Linked DNA regions of Lonchura striata. The protein of the gene in region 1 purifies or fractionates together with the protein of each later gene. This does not show direct contact. Links are inferred from orthologs where the notes say so. Each region holds a gene or a part of one and is shown in the gene's direction. Other genes may lie near its edges.

Region 1 (9,467 bases):
CTTCCTTACTGTGTGGGTGACCATGCACTGGAACAGGTGGCTTAGAGAGGGTGTGGAGTCTCCCTCACTGGAGATATTGAAGAACTATCTGCACACAGTCCCATGCTAAGTGCTCTAGGATGACCCTGCTTGAGCAGGGAGATTGGACCAGATGACCCGCTATGGTCATTTCCACCCTGACCCATTCTATGATTCTGCAATCTAAAATTGCTATTTTATTGTAAGTGTTGAATAAAAATCCCAAATTAAAAAAAAAATATATCTTTGTTTTGCTCTTACATAGCTTAAATCATAGTTTCTGGCCTCTCTTTAAGTATAGGGAAACAGAAGTTTCTTTTTTGATAGACTAACACCAATTCAGTAGACTTTCTGTAAGTATATGGCATTATGGAATGTACTTCAGGTTCCCTAGTCAATAGGGGAACAGCTGAAGTCCAGAGTTTGAAAATGGAGAAGTGGTATCGATATAATGAAATTCACAACAAATAGGCTGCAATGCAGAACTAACATGAGCAAGAGGGTTAAACTGGATTAAATGCTCTCTTCATCTGAGCTGCACTTGTGCACAGGGACATCTATCTGCAACTGAGTCACAGAATATCATCCAAAAACATATGGCCTTTCAAAAATTAGATCAGTCTAATACCCTTTTAATGCTGCAGACACAGCATAGCTCTAGGCCATATTGAGATTGCCTATGTGGAAAATACATGCTTAGGGGCAGAAACCACATGGTGCTGGAGCCAGAAGAGGCCCAGCTGCTGTACTTCCAGGGCAGCCATATGCTAGCTAAGGCACAGGCAGTATCCATCCCTATTTCCAGCCACTGTAATTCTTAACATTGGCTACATGACACATAAAAAAATCTGTTCAGAACAGTGAAATGCTGGAGGTGTTAAGAATGATTCCCTACTGCTTTTGGTGTGTCTAAGGTATTGTGCCCTGTAGGCATAACCAAAGAAGAGTTCACAAAACCAGCACAATTAACCCTTAGTTTTTTTGTAAGGATAAGATTTTTTTTTTTTTTTTGCTTAGTACTATTGATTTGATTTAGACTATTTAAGATTGAAGTAGACAATGATACACTGCAGACTGAGCTTCTGAGCTTGTGCAGAATGGAAACATAATTCAGCAGCTCCCATGTCAGTTCATATCTGACTAGGCCTGTACCAGAAGGGTGATTTAAAATGTTTCAGGTATTAATAAAGCCATGCTTTTAAATATCTATCTCTAGTGAGTGAATATCCTTATTTAATTAAAACTGTCATTTATTTCTAGCCTTACTTTGGCAAGCTTCAGCTTCCACCTCCTGCTGGATCTGATGGCATGTTCTTTCCTTATAAAACTATTTACTATCAGAAATATGATCTTTAAGTAGCAGATCTGAAACACAAGTCCCTTTGACCTTCTAAGGATGAGCTGATTTTCTTGTAAGATACTGTGATAATTTTAAAAACACACATTTAACTCTGCTAACTGATGAACACTCTATACTGTGAAAAATCTGAGCAGCAGTAACTTTTTTTTAATTGTCCAATGGTTGAGAGACCAAGCAGAAAGGTGAACTAAGCTTATAGCTATACAGTAAGAAAGTAGTTTATATTTCTTTTTCTCATTGGTAATGTGATTTTTTTAAGCTGATTTAAGCAGTCATAGCTGTACCAGAGTTCATAAAACCACAATGAATTTCATGTGCTAGCAACCTGCTCTATCAGAATTAGCATTTCTAAACAGGATTTTAGGATTCATTCTTTCTATTACAAAACAAACAAGGAGGTCTGTGAGGAATGACACTAATCAAATTTAGTTTCCTTCTATTTTCCATTCGTCTTGTCTCTTTCTGACCATTTTCCGCATTATGTTCAGAGTTCCAGTCCCTTCCACTTTCAGTTCTTAAATCATCCATCCACCAAGCTGGGCAAGCAGAGCTGGTACTGTAGGTGGATTGGAGCTAGGATGTGTGTCTATCTGTCCAGGGTGTGTACACACCAATCAGCTGCTTTGCTAAGGGCAAACAGCAGGGAGAAGTAAGTTCCCCATACCTTTCTTTTTCAAAGGGGGACTGACTTAAGCCTTGGTACTCTCAGCTGCTGAATTCCATTCAATTTTACTTATATCCTTAAAAACTCTATGCCTCTGCTGAATTTCTTTAAAATTGGTGATGAGATCCAGCAGTTATGAGGAGGCACTGACATACAGAATAACTGCATTAAACCTCATTTCTTAGGAAAAAGAGACTAGAAATGAGAGAATACATTCTCAGTAATGTAACAGAATGGCTGGCTATCACACTACTTCATAGTGTGACATAACATAGCATGTGGTTGTGTTGAAGTTGAAAAGCTTGGGTTTGTGTTTTTACTGCTGCTTGCAGGAGGCAATGAGCACACCCATTTCAATGGCATTTTCTCATCATGCTGCTCTGTAATGTGTTCTGATTTCAGACCAGTGACACAATTGCTTTAGTTAAAATGAACTAGTGTGACCAGAAAGTAATATCCACTTAAAAGCAGTAGCAGGATATTTGTCAGTGACTGGATTCCCTTGGAATGTTAAGGTTTTATAAAGGAATACCACTTCCAGATATAATTGCCGAGGTTATTTCTTTTGCCTCATGTGAGAACCATATTTGCTGCTTGCTAGATTAACACCTTCCACGGTGGAATCTAAAATCTGAAGTGACTAGCAGCAGTGGTGAGTCACCAGCCCTTTGTAGCACAACTGCGTGTGCTTTGGGCAGAAAAATGGAACAGAGACTCTTCTGCTGTTCAGTACCAAAAAAAAAAAAAAACAAAGAAAGCTTACAAGCTTATACCATCTTTGAAGCCTTTACTTCAGAATTATTGAAAATTAAGCTTACAATTCATATTTACATAGGGTAAAGTTCTGGTAACTTTATTCATTTTGGGTCCTATTTTACTTCTTTAAAAAATGCAAAGAATGTATCACTAAGAACTGAAGAGTTCTAGTGTGAGTAATTAGACTATGAAGGTTTCTACTAGTATATGCCAAGCAACAAATTGCCATACATCCTCAATGTGTTTCAGTTCTTGGCTTGCCACTGTGATTTGTTTCTAGCAGTCATGCTAGCAATGAGCTGATGTTTACATCTGTAATGTTCCCATAATGAAAGGCCATGTCTACATGCCTGCAGAAAGCATACACACAAAATTGTGGCTATGGAAACAGTGAAGCCAAGGGGAGCTGTCAGAAAGCCACGCGTTGCACAGCAGGAATGATTTCACAGCCAGCAGTGCACCAAGCCCACCTGGCTGCTGCTGCTGCAGCATTTCCAGTCACAGGTTACACAGGATTCCAGCAGCACAAGGGTAATAATTACTTCCTAAGTATGCCTTTTGGGCTGGACACAGCATGAATTTACTGAAGAGATAGAACTCAGACACCTGGTAACATCAGTGTCTGTGCTAGGGGTGACAAGCCTGAGGAGCAGGTCACAGGGAGCAGAGCAGACCAGCTGTGAGCGTGCTGTCCCTGGTCCCAGTGCTGCCCAGCAGGCAGAGCCCAGGCCCTCCACAGGGACTGAGGACACCCAGCTGCACAGCACAGCAGGACATGGACACGTGGGTCTAGGATCCTCACACATTTTTCCAGACCCACCCTGATTTGTAATTACTTTGTGTGGAAAAGCCACAAATGAGCCTCGATCCCCAAGGCAGCAAATCACAGAAATGCAGCCACCCCAGCCTGTTCTCTGGGGGGAGTAAGTGAACCTGCCCTGCCCATAAGTAATTCATTCACCATGTTCAATTACTTCTATGGAGTGTGGGGGCAAAACCCTTAGATACCTGTGAGATCTTCAAATTTAGTTGGGAAATCTCTAGTAAAAATTCGTAACAAGGTGAATATCTTCATCTTAAACCATTTGTGTAGTTAGCCGGCTTTGAATGTAAAATATAAGGTAGTGATGTAATTGGGCAAAATTTAATGGGTAAATAACAAAAAAGAATTGAGTTTCAACAATCTAATGGTTGTTCCTGTCATTCCCTCAGTTTATACTTTAGAATTTTTCTTTTCCCTGGCTATGTTCCTTTTCAGCGCTTTTATGTTATGTTTGTGAGGATGTCTGTATGTAGCACTTATGGCTATTGTGGGATTGTTGCAAAATGTGGAATATGTAAATATTTCTGAAGAAAGGGTGTTCTCTGCTGTTTGATCTTTGTATACTTTCAAGCCTAAACAACAACAAGAAAAGGAGATTTAATCTGTGAAACAGAGAGCAACTAAGAAGCTGTAAGCAATGTCCAGGTGTTAGAAAGACAAATTAGTTGTTGGAAGAATTGCTTTGTTAAGGTTAGGGCTCGATATGTTTCAATGACCTCAGACCCGGGGGAGGTTAACCAAACTTGGGAAGAAGAATATACCACTGACGGTGCACACAAAGAATGCAGAATTGAGATGTCACAAGGACATCTAGCAGAACTTCCAAGATCAAGAAGTAAATAACAAAGCAAACTCAGCAACTGTGCTGAAATCAGCTCCGACTGGGTAAAAGGTAATTCTGGCAGGACGAGATTGTGACCCCTGACTCACAGCCACCGACTCTCAAAAGAAGACTGAAAATGTGGACTAATAAGGATGAGAAGCAATGGAACCATGAATATAGAATATAGAATACTAATTAAGAACAGAACTACGTAACTTGTAGCCAAGAAACATTAATTCCTTTGTTTACTAAAATGGATAAATAGTAAAATATTTTGATAGTTAGGATGATAGTAAAAAAAGCTTTTGATGGTTGGGCTTTGCGAATTTGCTACCCAGGACCCCTTTCAGTGCAGAACTGTAAATAAATCAAATACCTCGACTCTGTGTGTATTAGCCTCTAGCACACCGGGTTAAAGAACCTCTTTTGGCAAGAGGACTACTCTGCATCCGTGTCTACGTTCCGCAACCCCACATCCGAAGGCCTCTGGCAGCCCACCATCAAGGCTTTTCGCTCCTGCCCGCGGTGGCCGGAGAAGGCCGGCACTCGGGCACTCCGGCACTCGGGCACTCCGGCACTCGGGCACTCGGGCACTCCGGCACTCGGGCACTCCGGCACTCGGGCACGCCGGCACTCCGGCACTCCGGCACTCGGGCACTCGGGCACTCGGGCACTCCGGCACTCGGGCACTCCGGCACTCGGGCACTCGGGCACTCCGGCACTCGGGCACTCCGGCACTCGGGCACTCGGGCACGCCGGCACTCGGGCACTCCGGCACTCGGGCACTCGGGCACTCCGGCACTCGGGCACTCGGGCACTCCGGCACTCGGGCACGCCGGCACTCGGGCACTCCGGCACTCCGGCACTCGGGCACTCGGGCACTCCGGCACTCGGGCACTCCGGCACTCGGGCACTCGGGCACTCCGGCACTCGGGCACTCCGGCACTCGGGCACTCCGGCACTCGGGCACTCCGGCACGCCGGCACTCGGGCACGCCGGCACTCGGGCACGCCGGCACTGGGGCACTCCGGCACTCCGGCACTCGGGCACGCCGGCACTCGGGCACGCCGGCACTCGGGCACTCCGGCACTCGGGCACTCCGGCACGCCGGCACTCCGGCACTCCGGCACGCCGGCACTCGGGCACGCCGGCACTCGGGCACGCCGGCACGCCGGCCCCGCCGCAGACCGCGCCGCAGACCGCGCGCTGTGAGGGCGGGCGGCTGCCGGCACCCGGGCCGGCGCCCAGGCGCGGAGGCGGCGCGGGCCCGCCCCGGAACCGCCGCGCGGGGCATTGTGGGCGTGCGGCCGCGGCTGCGGCTTTCGGCGGGTCCCGTGAAAATGGCGCCCTAGGCGGGAGCGGGAGGTGCCGCCCGGTCCCTGCGCTGCCGCCGCGCGTCCCGGCCCCTCCTTCCCTCCGCCAACCCGCCCTGCTCCGGCCCTGCCGCCGCTCCTGCATCCCGCGCGGCGATGGCGACTCCGGACCAAAAATCCCCCAACGTTCTGCTGCAGAGCCTCTGCTGCCGCATCCTGGGCAAGAGCGAAGGTAACGGCGTCCCCCGCCATCGCCCGGCGGCAGCGCTCGGAGCCCGCGGGGGCTGCCCCGGCAGGGCTGGAGAGGTGCCGGGCCCCTCGGCAGGGAGCGTCACCTCCCGGCCCGGGGGTGACAGCCCGGGAAATGCCGAGGGGCCGGGCACGGCAGCGGCCCTGCGAGCCGGAGCCCTGCGGCGGGAGGCGGCTGGAGACGGCTCCGTGCCCTCCTCCGGCTCCCCCGGAGCCTTTGGCCGGCTGCTGAAGGCGCTGTCCTCCTCGGGGAGCGGGGCACCCGTGCCGGGGGTTTGGGCGAAAGGGGGCTCCGTGTTCGGGTTGAGGAACCTCCGCCTCCCGCCGGTGCCTGCTCGAGAGGAGCCATAGACGTGCGCCAGGTCCGCTACAGGTCCTCGTGTCTTGATGCTGCTGTGAGTCTCCCGCAGGGCAATGAATCTCTTGTCTGTTTGCCTAAGTTTCTCCCTTGCAGTTAAGGCGAAGACTGTTTTTAGTAAGCAGTCGGAGGGGTGGAAAGGAAGGCGTGCATCTGCGGAGTCTTCTTTTTAAATTGCTCTGTTTATCAGCGTGGCTCGCTAGATAAACTCATGCAGAAGCTTTTATTGCATCTTTTTTCTTGTATGAGAGATGGCTTTCTCCCTTATTAGTAGTGTCCATCAGGTCTCTTATTCTTTTCTCTCTCCATGCCCCTTTCTTCTGAAAAATCCCTTTAGATATTTCCAGGACAGTAACTAAGACTTTTGAGCATTACCTGTTGTAATAAATTACTTGAACATGGCCTACATGTGGATTATTGCTAGTTTAGGACTCTAGAAAGTGTGTAACAAGATGCAGATACATATATTGTCTGTTTCTCAGACTTTGTTCCCATCTGTTGCAGACAGCATGGCATGGTCTCACACCCCGTCGTTATCTCTCAGTTGGAGAGCTATAGGCTTAATGGATGAACTGTTTAGTGAATGAGGAACTGAAACTGGTAGCATGGCCACATCCAAGGAGTTGTAGTCACTGTGTCAATGTCGGAATGAAGATCAGTAGCAAGTGGTGTCCCTCAGAGGTCTGTATTGGGATTAATCATGATCAATATCTTATTAATAACATAGACAGTGGGCTTGAGAGTGCCTTTGGAAGGTTTGCACATGACACCAAGCTGAGCAGTGCAGGTGATGTGCTGAGGGAAGGTAGTGCCATGCAGAAAGACCTTGACAGCCTTGAGGAGCACACCTGTGTAAACCTCAAGCTTATGCCCGTGAGTTGAGGCAATCCCCAATATCTGTTGAGAATGGGGAATAAGTGGATTGAGGGCAGTCCTGCAGGGAAGGATGTGGGGAGTGGATGAAAAATTGGACATGAGGCAGTAATGTGTATCCTGGTCAGCATATTCTGAGCTCCTTAAAAAGAAGCATGGACAGCAGGTAGAGAGCAGTGATCCTCCCCTCACTGCTCTGCTTTTGTGAAACCCCATCTGCAGTACTGTATTCAGCTCTGGGGCCCCCAGTTCTGAAAGGATGTAGATGTATTAGAGCAGGTCCAGAGGAGTGCCATGGAAGTGGTGAGAGGAATGGAGAACCTCTCCTACAAAGCAGATCTGAGAGAGTTCGGGCTGTTGATCCTGGAGAAGGCTCTGCTCAGAGATGTCACTGTGGCCTTGCGGTGCTTAGAGAGGGCTTATAAGAAAGACATGTTTAACCAAGGCCTAAAGTGACAGAACAAGGGGCAATGGCTTTAAACAGTTATAGGGTATGTTTAGATTGGACACAGAGAATAAAGTTTTTACAGTTGGGGTTGTGAGGCACTGGAACAGGTTGCCCAGAGGCTTTGTGAATCCCATCCTTGGAAATGTTCAAGGCCAGATTGAATGGGGCTTTGAGCAACCTGATCAAGTGAAAGATGTCCCTACCCATGTCAGGGAAAGTGGACTAGATGGTCTTTGAAAGTCCCATCCAGTCCAAACCATCTTGTGATTCATCTGAGAACCTTGGTAAAGTTGGTAGGAAATTGGAAACTTTGTCTTCACTGACCTGTTGAGTAGGGGACTCCTTCACAGAAAACACTCTGTGTAACTCTACGATATTAAGGGTCTTTTTCAACGTGAATAATTCTAATATCAATAGCTGTTGATTGCTATGTTTTGTTTTTCAAAATCTTTTCCTTCTCCATTGCATTTTTAAGTCTTCTGCAAGACAGTATTTTTTTCCCCAGAATCTATAGTATTTCTGTATCAGGAATTCCTGTTATAAGATTTTATCAGAATGTGGCAAATTTCTAGTTTTCCATGTCCACCAAATCAGCAGTAGTTTCTTAATGGTTTAATGCCTCTTGTGTTCTTCTGTAACCACATCTTTCTTTTAGCAGGTGTTTTAACTGTATTTTAAAGGATACTTTACATCAGACTACAGTTCTAAGGTGCTCTTCTAGCTTTTTTTTTTAAAGCTCTTTCTTGCCTTTAACATTTTTCAGAAACTTTTTTCTGATACAATTAATATATGTTCTTGTTTAAGAGTATTTCAAACATTTGCTACCAGAAATCTCAAATTATTGTGCTAATTACTAGGTCTATTTCCAAAAACAAATTAAAAAAAAAAAAAAGGAAAATAGATTATATTGCTTTAGTGGATGTCTTTTCAAGGCCATTATTTCTATAATGTCTAGTCCTGTTTTCTTCATTACTCTTTTCTTAGATTTGGAGTCTAATCTAAACTCAATCTAAGCTTGTTTCTTAGTGTTATCTAGGTCTGTGATACTTTAAAAAGTTAAACAGAGCATGAGAGCAGAAGTAGAAACTTCTGAGTATCAACTGAAGTATGAGTATTCAGGTGAGATGGCTCACTTTTAACAACTTAGGATCTAGTTTTTTTTTTGAAGTCATAGTGTTGATACCTCTCTGTATCTCCTGACTGGAATAATAATTTTATTTACATGCAGTATGTACAAAAACATGCAAGAGAATTGGGTATTTATGTTTTTTAAAATGTTGAACCTGTTTATGTGTGTTGGGATTCTGGTACTGTAGCTACAATCCTTTCTGTGTTTGACTAATGAAAGTGGAAATTTCGGCCAAAATCACAGGAGCTTTCAGTGTTCAACCTGTAGCCTGCTCGTCTGCGCACTTGAGGATTATATGAGGACTTCTTTGAAGTGACAGCTGAAAAAAAGTGGGTTGTCTGCCACATTTATCACCCATGTTTTAATGCATGTGACAGATGGGAAGCCTGTTCTTACCATGCTCTTCATTCCTGTGTTAAGAAGGATGCTAGTGCTGAAACCTCACCCTTCTGAGATAGGATTTTCCTTGAAGCAGTCAACTGTAGTATGTATGTTAGCTCAGTTGTGGACTTCAAATGCATAGAGACTGATAAATTAAAAATTCTGTGAAAGTCTTAGTCATGAAAGGTGTGTGTGGTGGTTTTTTTCCCACCTCCTGATAATCTATGTCCAAGGAATACATAAAAGACAATGAAGTAATTCTGTTAGCACTA
Region 2 (9,477 bases), on another chromosome or scaffold:
CAAGAAATACAAATGAGTCCTACCAACAGCCATGTGAGGCAATATGCTTGAGCATATTCTCCATCTCAATGGGTGGAGCATCTAAAATGCTCCAGGGTTTGAGATGGAGAATTTGACATGAACAAGTGAATTAGCAGACCAGGGAGGGGCCCTGACCCTTTGGTTTTACTCACATTCCAAATCCAGGCACTCCTTTGTTACTTATATTGATTTGTTTGCAACAAACATCAAAAAAACCCCAGGACATTTGGGCAGGAATCCTGTGAGACTTGTCCTGTAACTAATTATGGTTTTATATTTCCAGGAAAATTCATCATTAATGGTTACCATTCCTGGTCTCATTTCCTGTGAAAAATGCCAGTCCCTTTCACTTCAGTCAGGCACTTCCTGTACTGTAGCTCAGTGATAAAACAATAAACTTTTTGAACTATTTGGAAATTGCAGATTTACCTTGGCTTGTGCTTTTCAGAGAAATATCTGGTTGAGTTTCTTTTTGGGAGGAAGAGGGAGAGAGAGGTAAAATTCTGAATAATGAGTATCCTAAATGTGATCAGTGCAGGAAGAAAGGGAAAAAAAGTTCTCTCCTATTTCTCTTTGGTCCTATAAAAAAAAAAGAAGACTGGATGTATTTGCATTATGTGTAGCTGTTTAAAAGGTGAGCTGTTTTTTATTTTGTGTACACTTTTCTGGAATGCTGTAGGTAGTAGGAAAATTAGAAGGATAATGATACAGTGGTGTAAAGAAAGGGAAAAGTGAGTAATTGATAGGGCAGTTATTTTTGCAAGACAATTTAAAAACTGAGTTAGTATGTTTATTTAACTTGACTGCCTAACAGCCAGTTTGGAGGAGACACTCCTTAGCATTATTCTTTCGTTAAAATAATTTATTATTCTGCAGTTTTTCAAAAAGCAAGAAAGATAAAAATTGACATTACTCATTTTTCTTTTACAAGGAACAAGTAGGAAATTACAGCTTTTACAAAACAAACCAACAAGGTGTTCTGTCTTTTGTTGTGTTTTGAACAAACTAAAAATCTATCTTTTTTTTTTTTTTTTTGGGGGGGGGGTCACCTTGAGGATTATCTTAGGACTTTTATACAGCTTAATTAATATTTGTAAAACATGCTATAGCATCAGGTGAAAATGGAAGAGAAGTTCTATTACAGACAATGTGTTTTTTCAGTGCTGCCTGTTTGGACCTTGTTATATTTCCTATACTTGAAAGAGAAATATTAAATAAAAGCCTTTACCTATTCATTTAAAATACATTACTATACTTACTTTCCTATAATACATATTTTCTGAGATTTTTGTTTTAAAGAAGAATATTATCCTTTAACACACAGCACAGTGAAATAATAACATTAAAATGTTGACCTCACTGTATCCATAGCAGCAGATTTTATTCTTATAAACACAAGATAAAATATTCAATGCAGGTTTTAGAAGAAACATTGGAGAAAACATTTTTCTTTTAGCATATAATTAAACTCTTTAGTTAAAAACTGCTTGTAGGGAGGGAAGCTCATACCTGAATGTCTCCAGTAATCACACAGAAAAAAAAAGTATAAAAGCAATTGCAAAGCAAATTGTTTCTTGGTTATGTATTGCAGTAGTTGGGTGAGGTTTTTGTCCTTAGCAGTAAATGGAGACTAAAGCCTTCAATATGTGAAAGCACAATAGATTTGTGTCAACACCATGCTGAATTAGATTTGTATAGAATCTACTTGTGTCACTGTTTCCAAAATTAAAAAGGAAGAGGAGGAAGGAAGATTTCACTTTGTAAGGGAAGATCTTCCTGCTATGGGAAGTTCCTCTCTATGATCTGCCCCATACAACAATGCCAAAGAGCTACTATTGACAGCTTTGAACCCCTGGCATGTTTACCAATTATTTTCAAATTTTAACTGAAATATTTCTCCATTCTACATCTGTGGAAGGAATGGATAGTGCTTCTCTATCTAATAAATCGAGGGATGGGGCAAGGGAAGAGAGAGAGAAAAAAAAATAGAGAGAAAGCACACTTTGGGGAGAAATTGAAAGATTCTGAAAACAATGACATTTTATCTTCAGTCCATCCCATCAAGTGTGGGACAAGAAAGACCTATAGTAAAAGGAGGTGTTTGGGGTTTTAAAAATATTTCAGTATTTTCTGTTATGTGAACTGAATGAAGCAAAAACACTGAGAAAAAAAACAGCTTCTGGTCCTGTAATTAAAAATTTTATCATCAAGAGCATGCTGGACCTCAAATTGAATTTGAACAGGGAGCTTAACAGTGAAAGGTCTGAATGGATTTTAGAATATTTCAGTTTTCAAATACTCTTTCAATATAGTTTTAAATTATATTGGTGCCTTGAAAGATGTTCTACATTCAAGGCATTCACAGGATTTCTCATGCCTACAAATATACAGTAACTTGAAATTATTTCTGGTTAAATTAATTTTATGATGTGGAAATCAGTAATTTCACACAGATTTATCCAATTGCATGTGACTGGTTTTTAAATTCCACTACAGCTCTGCTACAATTCACAATTTTTTGTTGTCCAAAGTATATATTCATTTTCTGGATGACATCAATCTAACAAAATAATCCTAGTAATTACCCTCACTATGCCTCAGTTTCTTTATCTGAAGATAACAGTAATCCCCTCATCAGTGAGGGATTTTAAGTTTTCTGCAACAACATTTGGAAAATATTTTCAGATCCTTGAATGAAAGAGGAAGGCTATTTATATTATTATTCAGTTGAGACACACTGTAATGGAACAATCATTTGTTTCCAGTCCATTTCAGTGAAATCCGAGAAGGAAGATTCTTTAAAAGAATAATGATGGAGTTAGAATTAATTGTTGGCTAATATGCTGAACTAATTAAACCAGCAGAGAGATGCATTTATGCTTGCCAAAGGTTTTCTTTGAGTTAAAGATACTGAGAACATCATTAAATGAGAAAAGTGAAAATATGAAGCATAGGTTAATCTTTTAAACAGAGTGGGTGAAAGGGTCCAGAGGCAAGTGCTGAAGTCAAATATTTACCACTGCAATTTAATTTTCTACTTTGAAACCCCAGAGCTAATTAGAATTATTCTCATTTATCTACCATCTCAGCATGATTTAGGATTCTACTTAATGTGCAAAGAAAAAAAAGAAAGGCTGTGCTGAAGCAAATGGCACCAAAACTCGGTGTGGAACCAGATGCGCTACCTACAAAATAATCATGAGCTGACTGAGCCAGCCCTATAGTTCTGTGTGGAGGGTGAAAGTCTCTGAAAACACAGAGCACCTACAGGGCTGGTTTAGCTCCTGGCCAGACATTCAGAGTTGAAAAGTACATTTCAGCAACCACCTAAAAATTTCAATGCCCTAGGCAAAGCTCCTTGCTTTTTGGCAGTGATGATTTCTTCATTCCCTGTGAATTCTGGCATCATACAGCTACTATACAGCAGAGCTAGCAGAGAAAGTCAAGATCCTGTCTATCATATGAAATTACTGTATATATTTTATCATCATATAATGTATTAGTTATCTCTATCCCATTATCACATTCCTATGGTTCCACTACCAAATGGGATAATACCAACTTTTAAGTGGTTTCCAAACCACTCTAAAAAATTATTATAACCATAAAGAAATTAATGTCTTTTTTTCCCTAGTGTCCTGACTGCTCTTATTCCCTGGAACTCTGTGGCTTATCCTTCAGAACCTAATGTCACTGCCTCTACAATGAAAAACTTTTTTATGGGCAAAGAGGAAACCTATGTATGTTTAAAGGCAAAATGTATTAGCATAATTGAAATCTTAGCCTAATCCAAGAATTGTTATCCAGGTCTAATTATTACGGGAAAAGAAAGAATATTTCTATGTGGAAAAAGTTGTAATAATAATAGTCGTAATAATACAGTTAAAATATTATATAAACTATTTTTGTCTCTCTTCACCTGTGTATTGCTCACACTCCCACTGCTTTTACAGCCTTGCACAATTGCTGGGAATGCTCTGCCTTGCACCGATGGCCTTTCAGCAATAACACCACTTTGGCTTTAATGGTTGGGCTTAGAGCTGTGATCCTTTCCACAAATGGAATGCACCAACGTGTCCCAGTGGTTCCTTGCAAATACCAAGAACAAGCACAGCACAGGCACTGGCATAAAAAAAATGCCAGCAAAGGTCCTGCCAGCAGGAAAAATTGATTTAACTGAGGGCCTGTTACAGAATGAAGGAAAACATGCTGATCGTGTTTACTTAAAATCCCCCAAATTGTTAATTGTTCAAGGCTTCAGGGCTTGTCAGGCAGGTGCTCTCCTATCTGTCTGTAAAAACAATTATGCTCCACTGTGAGGAGATAAGGAAAAAAAGCCAAAGGATATGGCTGTGGTAAAGAAAAGGCTTTAGATTCTCTCTGTACTGAAGCTAGAATGGAATAACAAGTGCTGGGCTCAGAAGTGAAACATGACAGGTTTAGTAGCAAATTAGGACTCTAAAATGGAGCGAGAGTAGAAAACTTGCAGGAATGCTGTGGATCCCTTAACACTCAGCTGAGAAGGCAGGTGGTTGAAGATATAAATTATAACTAATGATTGGTTAATGAGGATTAATAGATGCAATAAAGACATGATCCTCAATGCTGTAGGGAAATAATGGCATTTTTTGTAACAGTGCCATGATTTATTTTCTCCTGATTCTGAGTGCATTTCCAGAGACTAGATATTAAATGAACTTGGAAAATCAAGACTCCATCAGAAAAGGAAAGTAAATCAGGCATTTCAGCTCGACTGGCTCTGAGGGTACACAGGGTGAAGCCTCGCTCAAAGGCAGATCTCTACAGAAAATTTTGTTAAAGTTCCACGTGGAATATATCTTTGAATTTAGTATATGTTGTTGTGTTTTGGGGTAGAAAGCAGGAGTGCAAACATGTATCACCGCGAAGCACTGCTACCTTTTATTTTACCGGATGAAAATAACAACAAAGTCCCTCCTCCTGTAAATTTCAGCATGACCAGGGTAACAGTTCTATTGCAAGTCAGGACACAGACGCCGCAGTTCTCTATTACTCGCTGTTACAGGAGTGATGCATTAACTGCTATCATTTATTGCGCTCTGTCGCCGTGATGTCCCGGTGTCCCAGATGTGCGGAGACCCCAGATGCAGCCGGACGCCTTTTGCTCAGCGCTGGAATCTCCAAACGCGGCAGAGGCGGCGCCCCTCAGCCCGCTCCGGCGGGTTCTCAGCGCGGCCCGCGCCCCGCCCTTCAGCCGCTGCCGGGCCCCCGCCCTGCCCGCCCCGCCCCGCCCCGCCCGCGCGCGGCCCCTCCGCGCCGCCGTAGCGCGGGCAGCGGCGCGCGGGGGCTGCCGGGACGGGGCGCGTGAACTCGGGCGCGGCGCGGCAAGCCGGGCCCGGCGGGGCGGGCGGAGCCGGAGCCGGGCCGGGCCCGTCCCTCAGGCGGCGCTGGGCCGGGCCTCGGGGCGAGCAGCGCGGGCTCGGCCCGGTGCCCGCCCGGCCAGGTGCGCGGTGCCGCGGGGAGAGCGCGGGAGCGGGCCGGGGCCGGGGCCGGGCGGTGGCGAGGGGCGGGGTGCGCCGGGCGGCTCCTCCCGCGGCCTCCGCGGCGGGAGGCGAGCTCTGTGTGAGGCGGCAGCGCGGCCCCGCGGGCTGCTGCCCACTGAAGGCGTATGTGGACCCTGAACTTCTTGTGCAGTTTTGAGTGTTAACAGTCCCGGCAGTAAGAATGAATGGCCTAAAGCTGTGTGAAGCGTCCCGCAAGCTTTGGCCAAGGGGCGTTTGTGTTCTCAGCTGAAGGGAAAGCTCACGTTTATAGTCCTCGTCTGTTGATAGTTTAAAATTATCAGGAGTAAAAAGCTGAGAGTCAGCGCTTCAAACCAGGCACCGGTTAACCTGGCTTGAAGTCTTAAAAGGTGTCACTCAAAATAAGTAGCAGTACAATGCTCTTGGCCTTTTTGGTTCGTAATGTTTTGTAAGGTGCGATGTAAGGTGACTCGCTGTCGCTTGTATTCTGCTGTCAAAGGTTTAGTTTAAAGGATTCTCGGATGTCTTTGGAGTAGTGAGATGAACGCTGAAGTGAGTCCTTTAGGTCCGCACTGCCCGCCTTGCCCTGCAACAGTTTGATTCTGGTTTGTATATCCCCATCTGCTGGTGGGAAATGGGCCCTTCAGATACTCAGGGCTTCCTGGTAGGCAGCTGTGAGCTGTGGAGATAAAGGCTTCATTTTAGTCTCTTCATGCCGTAGAGGGCCTGGCTTTGTGAGAAAGAAACCACGCGTTTCCTTCCGGAGTTTAAGTAGCAAAAACTTGGAGTGTCTGATGCTTTCGTTTGTGTGTGCAGCTGAACGGTACTAACTGTTTAACTCAAAATAAATGGTGCAGTTATCAAGAAAACTTTAACTGTATCTTTTAAAATTGTAATTTTGAATTGTTAGGTTGCCTGGTTGATTTTTTAGTTTTATGTATTTTCACTTATTAATTTATTTCTGCCAAAACAGGTGCAGCCATGCAAGAAGGCATACGTTTTGCATCATCAGGAGATGATATTAAAATATGGGATTCTTCATCTTTCACTGTGGTGGAACAGTTCAACCCACATACGCCCTCACATCCAGTCAGTTCACTGTGCTGGGCCAGCAATAGTATCCTTTACAGTTTCAGCCATATTTCTGTGGGTGTTCTGCAAAATTCCACTGTTTCTTTTTCTTTCCTTTTTTTACAGAAATGTTTGTAAAACACAGGCCTGATGTATTTTGAAGTCTTGCATAAAAATATTGGTATCTGTTTTGACCAAAGTTTTGTGGTTCCTTGTGCTGAAGAGATTTACAGAATGAGATCATGATGGTAAATAATTCTGAAGAAGTTTCTTAGCTCGGGAACCCACACTTTTTTAATGGCTGTAATGTGCCTGAATTGCCTGCCAACTGTAAACCTTACACATTTGTTTCTTCAGTAGTTGATTATGATGTTTGCTTTCAAGATGGTGCCTAATTAACTGACAAGCTTGAGCAAAGCAACTGCTGGTGTAGTAAAATTCTATACATAGTATAGTGAGGAAAATTATAATTATTTTTTTTTTTTCCATAGGACAGCTTCTCGTTGATTCTGACAATCATTGATAGTGTTCATTTACCTCTAAGCACTGGTTTTCTTTCTATTCTTTGTAAGCATTTTGAGAGGAAACACAAACCTATTGTTGTGTAGGAAAACATTCACTGGGTGGTGGTGGTTTGTCATCAAAATGGATCTGACCCATTTAGGTCTTTCACCTCTGACTTGGAAGCCAAGGAAGTCTTGGATAATGATACGAGGGGCCAAGTGGTAGATGAAGATATGAGAACTTTCAGTGGGCTGTCAGGTAAATGACTTGTGTGGCTGTCACAGGAGAAGGTGGTGGTGTCTCATCTTGACGTAGGAGGCCAGGATGCTGGCACACAGCATACGAGTCCTGCAAGTTCTGAATGTCTGTCCTCAAAGTTAACGTATGAGAATAAAAGGTTACACCAATTGGAACACAAATGAATGTTTTAGCTATGGAGCTTGCAGAGAATTTGAAGCACAGATGTAATGTTTTCATGTGTATGCATACACACTAGTATGTGTTTAGTAAACTTTTATCTACAGTCTGTCTTAACATGCTTTAATCAAGTCTCCTCTTCATCTCCCAACACTGAATATTTGTTAGCTTGTTAAGGATAAAGCATTAGTTCTGGTTACGCATAGTTATGTAAAATTATACAAACGTGCCGTAAAATAGTGACAGCAATAGCAAACACTACTCTGCCTACTGGTTCTGTTGTGTTAAATCCAGCCAATTAACCTGTGTTATTCTTTAATGAGCTAATGCAAAGTCACAATGGGCATTGGCCAGAAGACTGATTACTCAGTTTGTTTGGTGATGGTGGAGATGCAGTTTTCCTGCTCTGTAATTCTATAAATGTTCTTATTACTTTGGAGTACTTGGATTCATAACAGGTTATTTTTGGGATTTTGTTTTTCTTCTCTCAGTACAGAGTCGGGGAAACCGGCAACTGCTCTTTGTACTCTAGAAACTGTGTAGTGAAGTAGTCTGACATTTGTCATGACCAGGACCATTCTTTAAATCCATAGTCTGCTAACAGCCACAGACACTCCTTTGAACTAGTGATAAATGGTGCTCATACTTGGGGGTGTGGGGAAACAGAATTGTAGACTGGATAAGCTGCCTTAGTGGTAAAGAGCTCTTAAATAATACCTGGCAGATTTTTCTCGTCTTTTCTATCAAAGAAATTGCTGTCTGTCTTGTATTGGCAAGTAAGGGCTGTAGTTAATTTAAGAGCTTCTTAATGAAAGCTTGGAAAATGGCCTTATGTTTCTGTTTCTAGGTCCCTCCAAGGTCCAGTGCTTTAGACTGTGTAGCCAATCTGTCTTCTGTTCAATAAGGGAAACTTCCTGTTGCTTGTATTAATCACCAGTATCCTACAATTATGTTCCTTAACTTGTGACAAAGATAGATACCTGGCTACTGCTTCTGCTGCTGGTGATAAAATAATTGTTTCAAGCTGTAAAAGCAAACCTGTCCCACTCTTTGAAATAGCTGAAGGAGTAAGTATACCCTCATTTTTTCCCCAGTTCACTTGATATTCTTTGTGTCTCACATCTGTTCTGCATATTGGGGTCAATATAATTTTAGTATTGTTAGAATTATGACATGTACATAAAAACATTTCCTTGTGTATTGTTAAACACATATAAAGATTGGGGGCAATAGTGCTTTTAAAACAGCTCTGTCAGTAAGAAGATACAGATGCAGTTATTGAAATGTGATCACTTGGGGCAGTCATGGTTCAGATGTGATCTAATGTGTAGGAGATGGACTAGCTCAAGTTTGAACTTCATTTTCTAGCTTGAGCTGTCAGTATTTGCATGCCTATGAATTGTACACTGGAAAATATAAGAGTCTATGGAAGGGTTGTTCTTGGAGCGTACATGTGCCAGCTTGCATTGCAAGAAACAAGAGAATTTGTGTTGTGTTCAAGGCTTTTGTTTTGCTTAGTTAAAAAGAAGTGTGGCACTTCAAAAAGCTGGACTTAGTTTTAGAAGAGTCTCTTCACATGGTCACTTAAATAGCTTGTTAGTGTTCTAAGCCATTCTAATTATTCTCCTTGGATAGCTGTTGTAATGCTAATTTGGACTGGAAATTTTCTGAAAAGTTATTCAAACCTTGCTTTTAGGGCACTGAAGCAAACACTTTCAAAGGTGGAGTGTTTGTCCTGAAGATTTCACTAAATTTGATCTATAACTAATGCAATCCCTTGCAATTTTATCATGTCAATAATTAGATGGACTTGTTTTTTCTTCACTCAAATCTTGAGAACTTAAAAGTGAATTTTCAATGTGATGGAACTGAATAATAATTTGTTCTCAATGTAGGCCTATCATTAAGATTGACCTTTTTTTTACAAAACTGGTACTTCAGTGATTATTTTAAAAAGAACCAC

Evidence for each region.
Region 2: the proteins of TUBGCP3 (region 1) and NEDD1 purify together in Homo sapiens (affinity purification with mass spectrometry; 3 studies listed by BioGRID and IntAct, with this or other methods). This does not show direct contact. The link is inferred for Lonchura striata from reciprocal best matches to the Homo sapiens genes TUBGCP3 and NEDD1.

What each region holds. Positions count from the first base shown.
Region 1 is NC_134604.1:91,909,676-91,919,142, forward strand, and holds the start of TUBGCP3 (gamma-tubulin complex component 3), read left to right. Parts: upstream 1-5,737; 5' UTR 5,738-5,913; coding exon 5,914-5,989; intron 5,990-9,467. UniProt on the Homo sapiens protein: Component of the gamma-tubulin ring complex (gTuRC) which mediates microtubule nucleation.
Region 2 is NC_134607.1:54,832,932-54,842,408, forward strand, and holds the start of NEDD1 (protein NEDD1), read left to right. Parts: upstream 1-5,409; 5' UTR 5,410-5,503; intron 5,504-5,644; exon of another isoform or gene 5,645-5,666; intron 5,667-6,495; 5' UTR 6,496-6,503; coding exon 6,504-6,639; intron 6,640-8,486; coding exon 8,487-8,581; intron 8,582-9,477. UniProt on the Homo sapiens protein: Required for mitosis progression. Promotes the nucleation of microtubules from the spindle.